Linked DNA regions of Rhinolophus ferrumequinum. Each later gene encodes a partner of the first gene's protein in a complex. Links are inferred from orthologs where the notes say so. Each region holds a gene or a part of one and is shown in the gene's direction. Other genes may lie near its edges. The genes, in order: KCNJ4 and TAX1BP3.

Region 1 (3,899 bases):
TCCCACCTGTTTCCTCAGAAGGTTGGAGTGAGGTGGCAGAATGGCCACGGAAGTGACTGGCTCGCCAGAGGCTGTGGGGTGCTGGAGATTTCTCCCCACAATCCAGAGTGCGGGGCCCAGACCTGGGGCACAGTTAGGGCTGCAGATGAAGGGCACCATCCTCCCTAATAAAGACACTTTGGAGTAATGGGAACGCACAGAACAAGAGACGGGGGTTTGGTCCGGATGCCACCTCTGAGTGACCTTGGGCAAGTTTGTGACCCTTTGGTTCTCCGGCTCCCGGTCTGTAAAATGGGGCGGTGCTGCCTAAGTGATTGTGAGGGTCCCTCTAGCAGAGCCACCTCCGCGGGGATGCGTAGGGTCCTAAACTGCAGGTACTTCAGGAGGGAAAGGGGACCGCTCACGGGAGTGGCCCAGCGCCAGAGAACCCAGTACGGACCCTCTCCCACCCACCGCCTTCCTAGCACGAGGAACCCTTTCCACCTGCCCCGGGGGGGGGGGGGGGAAGGGGGGGCTTGAAAACCCGGCGGCGGCTTTTTGGAATGGGTTCTGGGAGGAGCGCTTCTGGAGGTAGGAGGGAAAACCCTGGCAGGATCTGTGGCAGGAGCGGGCCCATGCAGCCCCCAGGCCCTGGCCCTGCCCCGCGAGGCGAGCGGGTGGGAATGGGTTTGCTGTCCGGCTAGGCAGAGGGGAAGGGGCGGGGCCGGGCCCCGCAGGCAGCCGGGGGCTCCCGGGGTGGGGGGGCTCCGCAGCGGGGCGCCGCGGGTCACGTGTGAGGAGGGGCGAAAGTCTCGCAAAGCGGGGCGGCGTGCGGCGAGTTGGGAGTTCTCGGCGCGCCGCGGGCGTCGGGAGCTCGGGCTCCCGGGCGAGCCGGGGACGCGGCAGCGGCTGGGGCCTGGGTCCCAGACAGTGGGGGCCGCACCGAGAGGGCAAAGGCGAGAGGGACAGAGGACAGACCGGGCGGGAGACGGAGACGCGCAGGGAAGAGATAGGGCAGAGGCTGAGGGAGGCAGAGGAGAGACTGGGAGGGAGACCGAGGCGAAGACAGAGACCATAGCGGGGGAGACAGCGAGAGCGAGGGAGGCAGGAGAGACCAGTCGAGAGACAGAGACCGGAGAGGGGCAGAGACCCGAGGGCAAGCGGGGCGGGGAAGGTGGCCGCAGAGCCCGCGCGGGGCGGCTCGGGGCCGGAGGCGAGCGCAGCCGGGCAGGGCGCGCAGCTCAGGGCGGGGGACAGCGCCGAGTGACAGCGAGAGAACAGTGGGGGGGCGGCGGAGGAAAGGCGCCTGCGGCGGAGGCGAGGGGCGCGAGCGCGGGCGGCGAGCGCCATGGGCCGCCGGAGCCCCGCGCTCTGAGCCCGGGCCCGGGGCCCGACGATGCTGACGCTCAGGCGGCGCCGAGGGCGCGGCGCCGGGCAGTGCTGAAAGTTGGACGGCCGCTGGGTAGCGGCGCGGGACGGCGCGGAGGCGCGGAGACCCGGAGACCCACGGACAGACCCACCGGCAGCCGGGGAGGGGGGCGCGGCCGGTCCGGGGGGCTGGCGAGGAGCGAGCGCCCGGACTCCCCTCTCCCGCGGGGACGCCGCCCGCCTGACCGCGCCGTGGGATGTAGTGCCGTCTCGCCGCCTCCAGGACACTCGTCGGACCTTTGCCCCGCGGTAAGCTCGGCCCTCGCCCACCGCTGGCGCTGTCTGTCGGTCTGTCCCGCCGCGTGCGTGTCTGTGTGTCCTGGACCGGCTGCTTTGGCCCCGCCCGCTCAGCGCCTTATCCCTGACCCGGGTTCCTGCGACTTCTCAGAAGCTGGCGAGCTCTGTCCGTCTGTCAGTCCGGAGAAACGAGGTCTAGGTTGATGCCAGGAAGGAGGGAGAGGAGGGTGGAACTGGCCTTGACCTCCTGCCCCGGCCACGACCTTTCCCTATCTCCACCCACCCCCGGTTGTCACACTGGGTTTCCGAGGAGCTTCAAGGCAGGTGACTCTTGGCAAAAGGGGGAGGGGCTCTCCTTTCCACCTCCCCAGCTGCAGCCCGTTTGCAAATGGCCCTGCCACCTGAGAACAATCCCACTGCCTACCTGAAACTAATTGTTTTAAAAATTCCCACTTCTCACGTCTTGAGCAGCTACTTTGGGCCAGGTGACCCCGGGGTAAGGGGACAAGGGATCCAGTAAATAAGGCATGTCATCTCAGAGTGGTAGACACAGGCTGTGGGGAGGGGGAGAACCCCAGTGAAAGAGAGGTCTGGATGAACCCTGGAGGAGGGAAACTTCCCCAACAACGTGCTGAGTGTCCCCCCACCAGCATCAGCACACACTTCTGCCCCAGTGCCCAGGCTCAGGGTGGGGAGAGGGTGCAGGGACATGGCAGACAGGAGTGTGGTGGAGGGACTGGAGGTTGGGCAGCCTGGCCAAGTTGGCAGCTGAGGCCTCAGGAGCAGTAGGATTGTGGGGACAGGAAGCTGAGGGAGAGAGGCCAACGGCCACACAGGTGAGGCCGAGAGAGGAACCAGACCCTGTGTCCGTGCGTGTGTGTGCATGCGTGTGTGTGCGCGCGTGTGCGTGTGTAAGATGTCTATTCTGCTTCTCCCCACATCCAGTTGCACGACCTCCTGAGCTTTGGGATTTTGGGGGGCTGTTGCCACGATGTTGGGGGCCCGAGAGCCGCACTGTGACCCTGGCTTGGCCTAGGATGAGGAGAGCAAAAGGCGGAAGGAAGCAGTGGGATAAGGGCTGGAGTGCAACGTGGCCACTGGCCTTTGAGCTGACCCACATCCAAACTGGAGCCTGGAGGGCTGAGCCTAGAACATTCCACTCTGTTCTCCATGGGGAGGAGGGGCTCTTTCTGGGGTTTTCCGCCCTGGGCAGTGGTCCTCATATATACTCCATTTGGGCTCCCAGAAATCAGCTTAGCTATCTGAGGATCCAGCACCCAGGGCGAGTCACTCGCTCCCTGACACTCAGTTTCCATATCTATGGGAAGGACACCCTTCCTCGCCCCACTGACCTCCGAGTGCCCCCCGCCCCCACCACCCAGGCTCAAGGGAGCTGAGTGAGGGCTGTTCACAGGCTGGGGAAAGTGCTGGGCAGATGGGAGTATGGACTCATTTTACCTTTGGGATGATGCAAAGGTAAAATGGGAGGTGAGAATATGGCTTGAAATAGAGGGCTGACCAAGGAGAGGAGTGTCCAGGAATTAGAAGGGGGATCTGGGGCTTGGGAGCTAGTTGTTAGGAATGCTTGGGTTACCCTTGAAAAGGAAGTTCCTCATCTAGAAAAAGCCTCGGGGTGACTGGGAACAGACAGAGCTGGCCTTGTGTTTCTGCTAAGTGACCTTGGGTAGCTGGCTTGACCTTTCTGAGCCTCAGTTTCTTCGACTGGAGAATGGGATGATGGTACTGACTTCCTTGAATTGCTCAGGGATTTGCAGACTATGCCAGGTCCCTGAAAGCAGCTTGCCCAAGCCTGGAGCATAGTAGGTTCTTAACAGACTTTTGTGGAGCAGAGAATAAGTGACTCTAGGTGCTGTGAAAAGATTTCTTAGCTTAGGCTAAGAGGGAAGGGGAGGAGGAACAGTGTAGGCTTACAGGGCGGGCTCCTTCTTAATGTGGATCTGGGGGAGGCGGGGGCGAGAGCTGAGGGGGGTGTGAGGAGGAGGGGGCCCCTCTGTGGGGACCACTGAGTCACGAGGACATGTAAGCGACATGACAACCAGCAACATGGTAACCAGGAGACTAGAGGCAATGGGAAATGGAGCTGGAATGGTGTATGGGGGGGAGGGCAGGACTGGTGTATGGGGGGGCTCGAGGGGTCAGGGAGCAGCCAGGCTGGCCTCCCAGAGTGAGGGGAGGCCTCAAGGCCAGGTGGGCTGGGGAGGAGGTGGGGGCGGAGCGGAAGGAGGACAGGCCCC
Region 2 (3,899 bases), on another chromosome or scaffold:
AAGGCACAATGCCTGGCTTATAGGGCACACTTAATAAATATGAGCTGTTATTAGTTCTTAGGATGTTAATAAGTCTCTCCGTATTTACGCCCTAGTGCAAATGCAAGGAAATTACAAGGCTCAGTCCCAGCTCTCCAGGAGTCAAAACTTGGCGACTTTGCACCCACGATAGACAGGGGGTATGCGTTAAGGTAGGAAAAAACTCCGTAAAGTGTCTCACGCTTCATTTAATCTGAAGAATATTACAGGCTCTTCGTCTTCAGATATAAGTTACTGATAACGTTACAGAACAAGCAGCGAATTCAACAATTTAAAAACTAAGTAAGTCTACACGTCGTTAATTTCTGGCAACAGTCTTCCCAATCTGTTTTTTTTAAAAAGTCATCCCTGCCCCCATTTCAGTAGACGTGCACCATGCCGTAGAGGAATGTCCAGAACAGGACGTAGGTGAAGAGGCCTCCGACGAGACCTCCTGTAAAGAGAGGTCTTCGTGATTTAAAATATTTGTTCCACCTCCTTCCCGCTTTGAGAATTAAGAGCAGGGAGAGCAGGATGGAGGCAAGCAGGTAGAAGATGAAGCCGTAGAGGCCGGTGAGGCCGAGGATTCCGGCCGTGGCCCCCGACAGCGCTGACACTGAGGTCCGGCAGTAATCCAGGACCGCGGCGTTGCCCCGCACAGCTGCCTCGCTGATGAACGGCGGCCCTTCCCGCTTGGCCACCACAGCGGCCATCGCACCCGCCGGGGCTCAGCTTCTGCTTTCTCGCGGAGCTGCGGAGAAACCTAAGTTACAAGTAGTGCCTGGAGCTTGGAGAGTTAGGTTCACGCCGCCCCTCCCCCTGGGGCTTCCAAATCCTCGCACCACTCCTGGGTCTCGAACCTTCAAAAGACGCTGAGAAGAAGGCTGAGGGCCCGCGCAAGCCCAGGGTGGGTGGGAGCGGCAGCACGCCTGCATTCCCCGCCCAGGCTCGCCCGGTTACCTGGAACACAGCGATGGACACAGTCACTTGGCGTTCCCTCAGACAGACAGGGATGGAGATTCCCGCGGCGCCATCTTGCTCTGGAGGCTGCTGGGAGGGCCCAGGCTGTGCATGCGCCAAGACCTCGCTTCCGCCCTCTAGCGCATGCGCCGCTGGAGCCTCAAGCACGCTCCACCCCTCTGCCCGCTTTACTACGCACGCACAGGGACTTCCGAAAGCCGAACAGCGCTCCAGCGGTTGATTGGCTGGGGATTTGTTAACTATTCATGAGGGGGCGGGTCGAACCGGGCGGCCTTTGTTAACCAGAGGGCGCGGCCGCCGGGATTTTCGCGGAGGGCTTCGCTGAGCGGTATTTGGTTGCCAGATTGGGGTCGCGATGTCCTACATCCCGGGCCAGCCGGTCACTGCCGTGGTGGTGAGTACGCTCGCGCGGGCTCCTCCTCGTCTTGGCTTGCTCCCACTTTGCAGAGCGGTAAACTGACACCCCAAACAGGTTGACAAAGCGTCGAACCGGGGTCTTCTGCAGACCCCGCGGGCAGGGCTCCAGTCCGCGGTACTACCGCGGTCTCCCCAGCCATGCAACAGAAGGCTGGGACCAAGAGCCTCCTGAGACCCTGGACCGAGGCCAGACTCCGTGCACTGCCGCGTTGGACTCTTTTCAGCCAGTCGGGGCGGGGAACACCGAGGAGAAAGGCGCGGTTGTAGGAGTCTGGGAAAACGCCCAGGGCTTTCCTGGGCCTGTGATCCCAGCTGGGCAGCCGCGGGGGGCGGGCGCCGGCCAGGACATCCGTGAGTTGTGGCCTCTGGAATGAGGAAGTGCTTCCTCTACTCCAGTCCGTGCCGCCGCCCTGGGGGAGATTTGAGGAGGGAGATTTGAGGAGGTGGCCGTCGCCAGAGTCGCAGCCCCTTACCCCTCCCCCGTCCAGCCTTTCTTCCTCGGACTCACTCCTCGCCCGGTCCAGAGTGAAGAAGGCTCACAAAGGTGGCTCAGTCTTGCTCGGAACTTTCCCTGTATCCCTAGCCCTTGGGATAAAGTCCAGGTCCCCTGCCTGGCATTTGGGGCCTGAGGTGACCCTTTGGGACCCCTGCCCTCCCCGCCCCGCCCTTGGCTTGTCTTGGGTGTCAGGTGCTATTAGAAGAATCAAAGGGACAAGAGGAAGCTGGGACAGGAGACCCAGACGCCAGTGCCACAGCTGAATGGGGCCTGGAGGCCAGGTCCGCTGTTGGAGGTGGGGAAAGTGAATCCCAGAGAGATCTGGTCTTGGCCAGCCATGTAAAGAAGCCCTCAGGAAGAACCCAGATCTCTAAGAAATGCCTGCTGGGCAGGCAGTGGATCAGGTGGAAGTCCCAGCGGAGGAGTCATGGGACTGGCCGCGTTATCTCGGATGGGTGTGCTGGGAGCTCAAGCAGTCAGCTGGTGGGGTGTGACGCCAGTGATAAGGCTGGCATGTGAGGGTGAGCTTAGCATCCTAGGTCAGGCCTGGGCTAGGCGGAAACATTGCTGGACTTGCTGACAGGTCCTAAGTGTCCCCCTGGCTGCACCAGCCTCACATTTCCACAGCCCTAACTGCCCCAGAGAGAAGGGGCCAGGTTTGCTCCTTAGCTGGATAAAAAGGGGTACAGGTGAGGAGCCAGACAGGGGGCAGTAACCTGCCTGACCTCACCCAACAAGTCAGTGACAGGTGAGTGTCTCCCAGCCCAAGGGCCCAAACTCTTTCTGACCTTAAAGGTGGGTATGTGTTGGAAGAGGTGGAGCAGGCCTGGAGGAGCTCAATGTTTGGGCTTGAAGACCTAGGTCCAGTGGGCCTCGGGCCATGCGTCCTGCCCCCCCCCCCCCCCCCCCGCTTGTGTTATGGCTGGTCCCTGGGCCTTCCTCTAAGCTGTAGGACCATGACCTCCCAACACATGCCTGAACATGGGCGGTGGGTCTGGCCTCTCCCTCGTGTCTTGGACTGGGGAGGAGGTGGGGAAGCCTTATTCCCTGGCCCCCGCCCTCTCCCATGTAGTTAACACCTTGAGAATGTTTTACTATTTTGGCCTCTCTGAACTCTGGCTCCATGGGCCCGTCTGCCTTCTGGATACCTGCCTGGATGGCTCCTGGCACTCAAACTCAACATGGCCTTCTCCTCCAGGGTCTCCATTGGAGAGATGGTTGTGTTCAGCCAGGCCAGGTGGCCAAATGCGGCCATTGACTCCTCTGCCATGAGCAGTCCCCAAGTCTGTTGATTTCACTTTTCAAATAGCTCATGTCCTCATCTCTGCATCCCATCTCTGAGAGAGGTCTTCTCCCCTACTGACTGCCTGAGTGGTCATTCTGACATCAAGCCTGACCATGACCAGCCCTGCTCCCCAACTCCTGAGAGCTCCAGTGGGTCCAGAGTCAAGGTCCGGTGTCCAAAAACCTGGTCACCTCCTCAAGGCCTGGTGTGAATGATCCCTTCTTTGCGAAGCCCCTCAGGTCCAGATCAAGTCACTTTTTGCTTTTTTTCTTCTCGTTAAAACGCTCAACTTTTGGGGTGGGTGATCTGGTCTGGTTCCCAGTATCTGGTGACTGGAACATGCCTGCTGAGGGTTTTGAAAGGAACCTGGCACAGTTGGGGACCAGAGTCCCAGAGCATGGTGGGAGAACCCTGGGACTCTTCTGCCTCCTACACTGCACACGAGCAGGACCTGGGGCTTAGGGAGAAGCCCCCTCCCTGGGGGCCAGTCTCCTGGGCTTGTATTTCATGGCCTGCCTGATCTGGCCCCAGCCTCATACTTTCAGCCTAATCTCACCTCCCAGTTACGGTCCTACGCTGTATACTCGGGTCTCACGGACAAACACCAACACCAGTAAGCCTCTGCTCCTGTTCCCTTGATGAGGACAGCCCTTCATCTCCTTCCTCTGTGTTTGATCTTCTCCGCTTTTCCTGAGCGTCTCC

What was found.
Region 2: the proteins of KCNJ4 (region 1) and TAX1BP3 are in contact, whole or in part, in a crystal structure (PDB 3GJ9), measured with the Homo sapiens proteins. The link is inferred for Rhinolophus ferrumequinum from reciprocal best matches to the Homo sapiens genes KCNJ4 and TAX1BP3. Residues at the interface, in NP_004972.1 of Homo sapiens: Arg440, Arg441, Glu442, Ser443, Ala444, Ile445; in NP_055419.1 of Homo sapiens: Leu27, Ile28, Leu29, Gly30, Phe31, Ser32, Ile33, Gly34, Gly35, Asp38, Gln39, Gln43, Asn44, Thr58, Arg59, His90, Asp91, Arg94, Leu97, Thr98.

The regions. Positions count from the first base shown.
Region 1 is NC_046293.1:8,669,292-8,673,190, forward strand, and holds the start of KCNJ4 (inward rectifier potassium channel 4), read left to right. Parts: upstream 1-1,419; 5' UTR 1,420-1,656; intron 1,657-3,899. UniProt on the Homo sapiens protein: Inward rectifier potassium channels are characterized by a greater tendency to allow potassium to flow into the cell rather than out of it.
Region 2 is NC_046304.1:14,818,199-14,822,097, forward strand, and holds the start of TAX1BP3 (tax1-binding protein 3), read left to right. Parts: upstream 1-1,217; 5' UTR 1,218-1,354; coding exon 1,355-1,393; intron 1,394-3,899. Other genes in the region: EMC6 (ER membrane protein complex subunit 6), read right to left, coding at 399-731. UniProt on the Homo sapiens protein: May regulate a number of protein-protein interactions by competing for PDZ domain binding sites. Binds CTNNB1 and may thereby act as an inhibitor of the Wnt signaling pathway. Competes with LIN7A for KCNJ4 binding, and thereby promotes KCNJ4 internalization.